Drosophila melanogaster: one gene and its partner. The protein of the gene in region 2 interacts with the protein of the main gene of each other region in a pairwise test. Each region holds a gene or a part of one and is shown on either strand. Other genes may lie near its edges.

Region 1 (5,145 bases), on a different chromosome or scaffold from region 2:
ATTGCAATTTCTGTTGTGTATATAGTAATTTTGTATAGTAAAGTTCACGTTTTAGTCACGTACAGCTGTGTTGGTGTTTTGGCTGCCAGTAGTCAAGGGAATTTAGTTTAGTTTACGGGGATTTGACGTGGAATCAGCCACGAGAAGGTCGTGTGCCTACATATAATTTATTAAAATAAGGAGTTAAACATAATCGTAATATAACTTGCGAAATAATTGCTGACTTAGGATCAGATGGGGCGAGCGGGTTTGAGGGGGTCTGCCCTTGTTACTTAGTTATCGTTATGTAGCTCTATGTGTATCTGACATCTAAACTACATACAAGATCTGCATTAGAGTCGGGTCCGCGTGGAATCGTTTCCCTGTCAGGGTGAGCCAACCCAACTTGCAAGCTATTGGTAAATATAAATAGATGTATGTTGAATGAGTGTTTCATGCGAGTCTGACTAATCTGGGCGGGCTCCTAAGCCTCGCTTTCGCCAGGGGCCGCGTTTTCACCCACGTTGATGGGCACGATCAGATTCTCCTTCGACATCAGATTATATTTTGTGACGAAATGCGTGAAACGGTGGCACAGATACGTCTCGGCCTCGAATTCGTCGAAAATGCGACGATGGTGAAAGTAGGCGTGCGAGAAGATGCGATACACCCGCCGACATACGGAGCCCAGCTTGGTTACCGACGACTCCTTGATGGACACCCTGGGAGAGACACTTTGCTTATTATGTGGCTAGTTCAACCATGTCGCTAAGCCTGCATACCTGCTAGGGAAGTACTTGTTGCTGTTTAGCAGACAGGCGGCACCGTCCAGCGTGTGGCGTGTGTAGTCAATGGCCGGACATTCCTTGGGCGTCTTGTGCGCGGCGCACAGGAATATCCACTGGTCAGTGGCTGTCATCTGGGTGCACGTCGACGGCGAGCACTCCTTCTGCAGCCGCACTGCCAGGCCGTTCAGCTCCATGCAGAACTGGCGCAGGTGCTCGTACTTCCACACGCCCTCATCCTGGGCTTCGGGCATGGTCAGTATGAGTTCCACGTTGCTCGGGTCGCGCTTAATCAGCTGCTGTATGTACTGCTGCACCGCCAGCGTGCTGTCCATCTCCTCCAGGGGCTCGTCGGGCCAGCGACAGAAGTCCTGAAAGGCGAAACGGAAAACGGGTCAGACGGGCCGGGCCGGGATCGTTGTTCGGACGCCATGTCATCGCTCACCTTGGATTTTGTGCCTGGCCGGTTCCTACGCAATATGGTCGAGCCGTCAGCCATCTTCATGTTTCACCCGCTCGAAGACGCGATGATCCACAACGTCTGTGCCTACGCCTTGATGAGAAAATCACTGGCAGAAACTGAATGCTAGCCTGGTCCCTGCCCCGCGGGAGTCTCCGGATGTGGGATCCCTGCACCGTAGTATGCTGAGTGTATTCTACAGGAGCTGGCACATCGCTTGACAATTAATTGGCGTTTATCCTCCAAAACACTTTGCTTTGTGCGAGAAAATTTCTGACAAATTCTACATACATACATATACCTATCGATTGGCCAGCGGCAGTGCGCATCGTTATCGATAGGGCGATTGCAGCCTTGCGGTATTTCGGTATTTCCGCCAGCCCTGGCCACAAAGTGGCCACACTGTCGCTAGCCAGTCATCATAAATACGAACAGATTGGAAAACGTACAAGAATTGCGTATTATCTGTGGCATTACGAGATCGTACTTTCTAAAAACTAGCTTACCGTAACCCCCGTCAGCTTAAAACATGTCCTACGCGTACTTGTTCAAATACATCATTATCGGAGACACAGGTGAGTGCAAGCTGCGACTTCCTTTGAAACGGAATGGCCAGTGAAAAGTTGGCCATTGTCAGGGAAACAATCTGTAATTGCAAACAACACAACAAAACAAAGGGCATCGCAGGCGTAGGGGTCGTACCCGAAAATCAAAAAATGGGGGTTTCAGGTGGTCTCAAGTGAAAAATTGATACCGTGAGATCAAAATTGCGTCGGCAGGAAAATATTCCTGGAGTCGGTGGGCCGAAGGAAAAATCAATAATACCATAACAACGCATACAGGCGTTTGCTGCTCTCAGAGTTAGTGGTGCGCGGGGAGCAGCCCACACATAAACCCTGCTGCTGACTCACCCAACCACCCCCAGTAATTGAGGGATTCCGCCCCAAAGAGCCACGGGCTTATCAGCACTCTGCTTTTCGGGATGTCCAACAGCTGTTGGCATTTTCCAGCCTGTCCCACCTTTTCCCCGCTCGCCCACTAACCCTTTTCCGTTTCCGCAGGCGTGGGCAAGTCCTGTCTGCTGCTCCAGTTCACGGACAAGCGATTCCAGCCGGTGCACGACCTGACCATTGGCGTGGAGTTCGGAGCACGCATGATCACCATCGACGGCAAGCAGATCAAGCTTCAAATCTGGGACACGGCTGGGCAGGAGGCTTTCAGGTACCCACTTCTGTTCATTTAGTGTTAATACTTAAGAAGGGATAAGTGAAAGCTCAGATTACTTCCAAAATTGAACTGAATAAATTTTTGCAAATTTCGTATCCAAAACCCCAAGTCCAAGGCGGATAATAATTCGGCTCGTTTTTTATATTAAATAAAATAATTTGAATAAAATTCTTACTTAATGATCCAAAATAATAATAATATATATATATAGAGCCTTTAGTAAAAAGGCTTAATAATTTGTATTCAAAAAATTTTATTTGCTTCATTTCGGCACATTGTTGATAGATGTTTATTTAAAAAAGTTTTAATTCTATCATTTTTAATTTTTTGTGATATAAATTTTTTATACTTTACTTAAAATTAAATAGAAGTCGTCAGACAGAAATTTAATGGGTTACTAATAATTAAATAATATAAGCACTGTCATTTATATAACTGTATTGTGACGCAAAATATTTCTTGAATAGATCTATCACACGCTCTTATTACCGCGGAGCTGCTGGCGCCTTGCTGGTGTACGACATCACGCGACGGGAGACCTTCAACCACCTGACCACCTGGCTGGAGGATGCGCGTCAGCACTCGAACTCGAACATGGTCATTATGCTGATAGGCAACAAGAGCGATTTGGATTCGCGGCGTGAGGTGAAGAAAGAGGAGGGCGAGGCCTTCGCCCGCGAGCACGGACTGGTCTTCATGGAGACTTCTGCGCGCACAGCTGCCAACGTAGAGGAGGCGTTCATAAATACGGCCAAAGAGATTTACGAGAAGATCCAGGAAGGTGTCTTCGACATCAACAATGAGGTAAGAAGGATACATTTAACTTAGAAACTTCTTGCCACTACATTATTATCTCGTTACTAGGCAAACGGCATTAAGATCGGCCAACAGCACTCCCCCACAAACCCGTCGCTCCCAGGAGCCGGAGGAGCAGCTGGAGCAGCAAACAGTGGCTGCTGCTAGGAGTAAACCGCAGATGCCCGATTGCAATTCTGGGATAGGCGCAGCCGCTTCTGTAAAAGCTACTTTAGTGACTAACTAATAGAAGGTAGTTGAAGGAACAGATTTCTTGTTTTCTATCTCAACCGTAACTAACCACGTAAACATAGCTACCACTAATCTAGCAATTGGACACTAAGCTAAATGTTAAAACCATTAAGATCAGACAGTTACAAGAAACACATCTCCTTGTTCAGCTACGTTTTATTTTACCAAAAAAAACCAAAAGGAAGAAGTAACCAGAAATAAACCAAAACAAACCACATTTGTGTACGTGAATGTCGTGCGTGATTTCTAAATTTTATAAAGTTTATTGAAACATTTTTAAATGTTTTATGCATGTATTTTGTGTATATTGAAGTTAGTTTGCTAGTTACTTCGTGTAAAATCGATAGTTATACATTGGGATTTTGACAAAATGATGTGTAATATATGAACAAAAATCAAACTGTGTGAATTTTCATTGTGATTCGATTTCAGTGAGGTCCAGCTTCGCAACGCTGCGCCACGCCCCCTTTTGCAATGGGTATCTGCTCCGCTTCTCTATACACACATACATAATTAAATATATTAATATGTTTACGTTTCCTTCTCAACGCATTTGCTTTGTCTATTTTGTTGTGCAATCCGCTTAGTCTTTATACATACACTAGAAAAAAAGTACTTTAACAAAATATACAAAACGTGAGGGCCGAAATGGGGTTATATAATTTACACAATCAACATGCATTAACCAGTGGTAACACGAAATGCTGCGATTCAATGATCAATTTAGTATTTTACGAAGTTTATATATTTAATTAACGGCGATTGCTAAGACAAAACGAAAGATACAACTGTAAACGTAAATCAAATTATTTATAATATTTGTATTTGCCCAACACAATGCGGAATAATAAATATACATACTTACTATTAATATAATTATATAAATTAAATCGGTACTTACCTTGGGTTCATTAGCGTTTAATCAAGTGATAGTTAACGACTAATTAGTTTTTTGGTGTCTAGATGAGAAGTAAAACACTAAGGCAAATTTAATGAGGCATTTAAAGTTGTAAACAACTCAACTTTTAAATGAAAAGAGGTCAGACAAATAATTACGCATTAGTGTAGTTTTAACCCTTTTTATTTAGTAAGAGGCTTTCGGTAGATAATTGTTGAATTAATGTCTTGTAAATATTATTAAATGGTGAATCCTTTTTTGTTTATGTACATATTTCCTAAAGTGTTCGGAATTAACAATTTCCACTTTCTATGTCGGCTATAGGGATATAGTGTCGCATTTACTTAATTTTTTTAAATGTGCTTACATGTTAAAACATTTTTTTACTACTGAAATATACTATTTAGAAATATTTTTGTATTTTTTTTTAATAATACTTGAACTTTTAAGATATTACATAGGTTTGTTTCTTATTTTCTGAATCTTATCTGTGTTTTGTCTAAGAAAAAGTTTGCCAAACTGCAAAAACAAGTTTTTCGCTTCAACATTAACTATTTTTTATACCCTAATTTGCTCAGTTGGTTTTTTTTAATTGGAAACTATTCGGATCCGTGACGTTTGATGTACAAACAAATGCTCCAAAGATTTTATTGTGAGTTTTAGATTGATTGAAAATGGTCACTTGTTATTGCATACGTTACATAGATTGTTGTTTATTGTATTCCCTTTAATTAATATTCGTACGAAAT
Region 2 (5,666 bases):
CCTCCGCCCTGCAGAGCCTGCAGCAGCTCCACCAGCAACACCACGCTCAGCAGCAGGCCACCCTGAGCTTTCAGCGGGAAAAACTCAAGTCGGGTAAGCAGGTGTTTCAGTCGATGAATAACCCATGATTTGATCATAAGTGGGTATTAAGTAAACATAGTGTGTGCACATCTAATACCTCCATTTGATCATCATTTTGTGATTCGGCAGATTCTCACAAGAAGAGCGCACTGAAGAACAAGCGCGTCCGGACAATCTTCACGCCGGAGCAGTTGGAGTGCCTGGAGGCGGAGTTCGAGCGCCAGCAGTACATGGTCGGCCCGGAGCGGCTCTACTTGGCACACACCCTAAAGTTAACGGAGGCTCAGGTGAAGGTGTGGTTCCAGAATAGGCGGATCAAGTGGCGCAAGCACCACTTGGAACTGACACAACAACGGCTGGCATTGATAAGGCAAACTCAACTGCCAGGTACATCGTTATTGGGCAATCAAGTATCCGTGTCGGCCAATGCGGCCCATTCTGTGTCCACGGAACGCACAAACGGATGCAGTGCAGCCTCGCCCAGCCTGCAGGAGGAGGACAACGAGGATAGCAAGCACTCGCTGTCGCTTTCGGGCGCATTACCGCCGTTGAGTCGAGCGCAGTCCGAGTCGGATTTGTCCATCTGTAACGATTCCCTGGACGGCGACAGCCTCATGGACGGCAGCGAGGAGGCCTAAAAACCACGCCAGTGCAAAGCAAGTTTCCTGTAAATATAGTCAAATAAATATGTACAATATCGGTTTTCTATACTTCTGCTTGTCTTTAATTGTTGATGATTAGCTGCAAGTTGATTGTTACAATCAATCAATGCAAACTATATTATATTGTATAAGCATTGCAGTATATCCATTACATACGAGTACTGAAAAAGCTTATTTAAAAACAGAATAATACAGACATTTACACTCAATTCGCACTTTATACCTTGATCAGTTATCACATTGGAGTATTTCACTTATTGCTGAGCAGCCGCCCTGGCGAGCCGATCGTGGCAGGATAGGTGCACGATGTGCCCATTTGGATAGCGCACGAAGGCGGACTGGGTTTGAAAACGCTTCTTGCACTCGGAACACACACTAGACTCGTTTAACTCGAAGCTAATGTTTCGCTGCTCCTCCAAGGCATTCTCCAGGCGCGTGGACTCTGCCTCCAGGAAGCCGCACATCATCTGCATCTCGTGCTTGTCGGCCATCATTTTACGTATAGATTTCTCCAAGTATTTCTCCAGCTGGGGCATGGGCATGTCATCGGGAAGGTGCTGCAAAATCCAAAATGGTTGAGAAATATTTCTAATAAGTCATGCATTCAATGCATTCTTCACCTCGAAGATCTCGAATGGATCGATTCTGGTGGCGTGGGTGTTAAGTATTTCCAGGGCCACCTCTCGATTCACTTGCGAGAAATCCGGATGCAAGGGCACACCATCATAGAGCGGTTGAGTTGGTGGTATTAATATGCACTTAATGAGCGTGTGAAATATGTGCTTGTCCTCTTTGTAATGGGCTTCCGCATAGGCCGTTGCCTTGGCCACATCTCCGAGAACATGAATATAGATGGACAGGACGTTGTCGTGCTTTTTGAGCCTGCCCAGGATTAGGGCACGCTCCTCCAAGAGTATATTGGTTGGAAATTCCTCTAGGAGGCGATCCGGCGAATAGTCGTTGGACTCCTCCAACATCTTGTAGAGCTTGGCTCGCATCGGAATGAGTTCGGGAACTTCCTCTCTAGAAAACAGGTGAGTATAAGCATTTTGATCCAGTACAATGACAGACTCTCACCCTTTTTCCTGCTGAGCAAGAAGCCGTTGCACCTTTTCGCGATACTGCTTGAGGAGCACATTGTGGAGCAGGGTGTTGCCGTCCTTCCATTCAGTGATTACGTGCTCCAAATAGGGAATGACAAGTGCTTTGTGCTTGCTAATAAAAAAATCAAGAACTTTGGCGCGCGGCAGGGATTCCACTTCAATAAGTTCGTCGGTGAAAATGGTTAGGCCTTCCTCGGGATTATCGTTTAAGACCCAGTCAGCGAACTCAAAGATCAGCGGCAGATGATCACCACCCAGCTCCTGAAGATAGCGTATGGTACGCTTGCGACCCTGCAGCACAGATCCTTCGATGCTCGCCTGCTCTCGAAGCAGTTTAAGGGCCTCCTTGTGCTTGCCCTTCATCTGGTAGAGGATGATAAGTTCAGAGATCTTGTTGTGCTTCTTCAACGTCTTTTCCGACTCCTCTAAGTGGCACTGGTTTAGGCGTAGCAGTGGTGCCACCAGAGAGTCGTTTGTCTGCAGGTAACACTTCAGCAACGTTGTATCGATGATCTCCAGCAGGGACTTTGAACTACTTTTAGTGTCGCGCAGCTTGACCACCTCCCGCTGTCGGGCCCATGCCAGATACTCGATCAGTGCCAAGTAGGCGTTCTCCAGGTCGCTATCCTCAAGCGCCGGAGTACTGGACGTAGGCACGGTGACATCTTCGGTGCCGGGCTTTGGTTCTGGCACCAAGTTTGGGAACAGTCTTATCACATCGTAGGGATCTATAGCCGCCTTTTCAAACTCCTTCATGGCCGCCGAGAACTCCTTATTGGTAAACAGCTCTTTCGCATAGAGCATGTGTATCTGGCGAATGGTTTGGGCTCGGTCCGCGGCAGGTTCATCGGAGATTTGCTGAACATAAAGTTTGTTGTAGTCGTCGTATTTTGATTTCGTTTATCGGACTCACCGTCAGCTCAATAGCCAGTTGGAATTTCTTTTGCTGTAGCAACTGCTGACGCTGGATAGGGATTTCCACCATTCGAATGCACCAAAGCTCGGAGGTGGCGGCGGCAAAGATGGTTCCCTTGTCGGCGTGAACCAGGAATTTCGTCTTCTGTAGCTCGGGAATGGTCTGGACCAGGGTGTCCTTGCCCACTAGGCTGCGCACCTCGATGGCGTTGTTGACACGACCCACAGCGAATGGCTCATCCCAGACTGTAATGAAGATAATGTGATTTAGAAATTGGCTTGAAGTGAATAGTGAGTATCGTACCCAGATCTAAAAGCGGACTTGACCAGAGCAGAGGAGTTAGGGAACTATTGCTGTCCATGGCAGCTGGCCGGACATCTGTTGAGTTATTGATTCCATCCGATTCTTTGTACTGACTCGGATCTACTACGACGAGGTAGCTGTCCTTAGAGATGCCCAACATGTTGTTCCGGATAAGGCAAATGCAGGGATCTCTGCTGATACTAGAGGAGGTAAGGAAGAGGTTGTGCTTCTTTGGTGCTTTTCCTGATATCTAGAATTGGATATGCAGACCTTTAAAATACGAAGTAAATCGACTTTAAAGCATTTCTCACATCGTAAACAACATATTCGTCTTTGAAGCCCACGCAGACAGCATGGCCCACCCAGCACAGTGTCCTGGGCACATCGCTGAGCTCGATGATCAATTCCAGGGAATTAAGCTTGTCCTCCTTCCAAAAGAAGAACACAAGACGCCGCCGGATAGCGCAGCACACCCGTATGACGGTGGCCACACGTCCGGTTGTGGACTTCGGCGTGTCCACGTCCATGGTGAACAGGGTGCATCCCTTCGTGTCGGGCGCACTGTGCATGAAAGCGAAGTTGCTCTCAATCCGCCGAATGTCGCACACCTGCACCTGTAAGTCGGTGAGTACGAAGAGCAGGTTCTCCGAGGCAATCACTTCCATTTGGGTGATCGGTTTCCGGCTGAAGTTCTTGTTGAACATCCGCATGTCCACGCCCGTCTCCTCGTCCACAGAGTACATGATCAGCTGTCCGCTGCGGGTGCCCAAGATGACATGGTTGCCTGAAAAAATGCGTCCGGTGAGTAATAGCTGTGCACCGAAAATTCCACTCACCATATGCCGCAATTGACTCTATCTGCACGCCCTGTTTCAGGATCGAGTGAACACTGTAGGCCTGGTGCATCTTGGCCAAGTGGAAAAACTTCGGTCTCCTCCGCCTCAATTTATTTTCGTAAAAAAGCTTATAAACAAACCAGATGGGAGTACCACTAATGATAGCTGATGATGATAGATATCGATAGCTTTAGCGGTGGTAAATCGATTTCTTCCTCTTATGGTGATAGCGAAATAACTTAAATATACAAAGTAGAAAATAAAATTTGTACATGTTATAATTTAAGATTCAATCGCTAATGACTAAAAAGTTGAGTGAAATTTTAAATTACGATACTTTAAACGAATGCTGCCAGACTCTGCATTGCTGTCGATAGCACCAGTTCGATATACTGGTTCCCCGCGAAACCGTCCACCTCTAGTCCTTTTCACTTTAGCGAGGCGAAATTGTCACATTTACATTTGACAAAATTGTAAGTTTTGAAACAACTCTGTCGCTTTATTTCGGGTTGAATGTTTTCATTGCATTACTACCCACCCAGTGAAGTCGTTGAGTAACAGTTTTACCCCGTTCCCGCTCCAGGGTCGCCAACAAGCCCGCAGACAGCAACAACATCGAAAGTAGCTGCACAGCAACAACAGCAAACAGCCAAAATGCCCAAGAATAAAGGAAAAGGAGGCAAGAATCGTCGTCGTGGTAAGAACGAGAACGAGTTCGAGAAGCGTGAGCTGATCTTCAAGGAGGACCAACAGGAGTACGCGCAGGTGACCAAGATGCTGGGCAACGGTCGTCTGGAGGCAATGTGCTTTGATGGCGTCAAACGCCTGTGTCACATTCGGGGGAAACTTCGCAAGAAGGTGAGTGCTGCTCTGACTACGCTCTTTGTTTCGCCTGTGCTCTCTTCGCTTGCGTTGAGTGGGTGCCCCTCTCTAAGGTGGCTCTCTTAAGCCATTTTGGCATTGATTGCCAGCGAATGCTACGTATTTACGTTATTGTTTTTGTTGAAATGCAGGCAGTTTTTGTGATTTTGGGGGATTTTGCATTACCCTGCTAACTTTCGACCTTTCTATACCTAATTTTCAACTCTCTTTTTCTGCAATTCTCTTTTACTGGTCCATTATTGAGTGGGTGTCATCGTCCTTGTGCGAATGCATTAACAAAAGAGCAGTGGGCGGTGTGGACGGGGCGGCTGATTAATAATACGCAAGTGCCTATGCACTGATGTATGTATGTAGATGAAAGCAAAGCAATAGCACTGCAAATACAGGGTGACCGCCGATACTTAATTCTTTCAAATAATTCGATTTGAAATGTAAAAAGGCGTAATACTTAAAATAAGTACTATTCTGTCGAGGTTATAGTCAATTTCACTTTACTGTCTACTTAAAACCATATGAAATTTAATTTTATTGATACAATATATATCATTTTAAACAATAGAAGTATGATATATCATATAAGTATATATATATATATCATAAGAAGTATGATATATATAGTCAGTTTTCACTTCAGCGATTCTGAAACTAAGCTAGTGAAAAAGTTTTGCTACGCACTTTTTTTTTCAATTTTTTCATGGTAGTACACCTTACGCAAAATTTTGCGTATATCTTTTGCATTTGAATTAGCTATTCAGTTACATGTTTTCAATTGCGAATACAGCCTCCTTTATAGCACTAATTTGGGTGGTCAAACTGCATTCCATGAAATACCATACGTCCGCAATGGTAGTTCCTCCTTATCACCTACCTGAGTTAGCCCTGG

Evidence for each region.
Region 1: the proteins of Vps39 (region 2) and Rab2 interact in a two-hybrid assay, tested with the Drosophila melanogaster proteins (2 studies listed by BioGRID).

What each region holds. Positions count from the first base shown.
Region 1 is NT_033778.4:6,695,131-6,700,275, forward strand, and holds Rab2 (Rab2), read left to right. Parts: upstream 1-1,608; 5' UTR 1,609-1,753; coding exon 1,754-1,799; intron 1,800-2,285; coding exon 2,286-2,445; intron 2,446-2,918; coding exon 2,919-3,255; intron 3,256-3,315; coding exon 3,316-3,414; 3' UTR 3,415-4,339; downstream 4,340-5,145. Other genes in the region: Mob4 (MOB kinase activator 4), read right to left, coding at 464-713, 762-1,135, 1,210-1,269. UniProt on the Drosophila melanogaster protein: May be involved in bidirectional endoplasmic reticulum (ER) to Golgi trafficking. Together with Rab7 involved in promoting fusion of autophagosomes and endosomes with lysosomes, probably through recruitment of the HOPS tethering complex.
Region 2 is NT_033777.3:18,270,383-18,276,048, forward strand, and holds Vps39 (vacuolar protein sorting 39), read right to left. Parts: upstream 4,065-5,666; 5' UTR 3,972-4,064; coding exon 3,902-3,971; intron 3,850-3,901; coding exon 3,377-3,849; intron 3,316-3,376; coding exon 3,066-3,315; intron 3,008-3,065; coding exon 2,760-3,007; intron 2,705-2,759; coding exon 1,821-2,704; intron 1,767-1,820; coding exon 1,364-1,766; intron 1,301-1,363; coding exon 998-1,300; 3' UTR 807-997; downstream 1-806. Other genes in the region: CG18599 (uncharacterized protein), read left to right, coding at 1-93, 211-719; eIF1A (eukaryotic translation initiation factor 1A), read left to right, coding at 4,556-4,759. UniProt on the Drosophila melanogaster protein: Part of the homotypic fusion and vacuole protein sorting (HOPS) tethering complex involved in endo-lysosomal vesicle trafficking and lysosome biogenesis.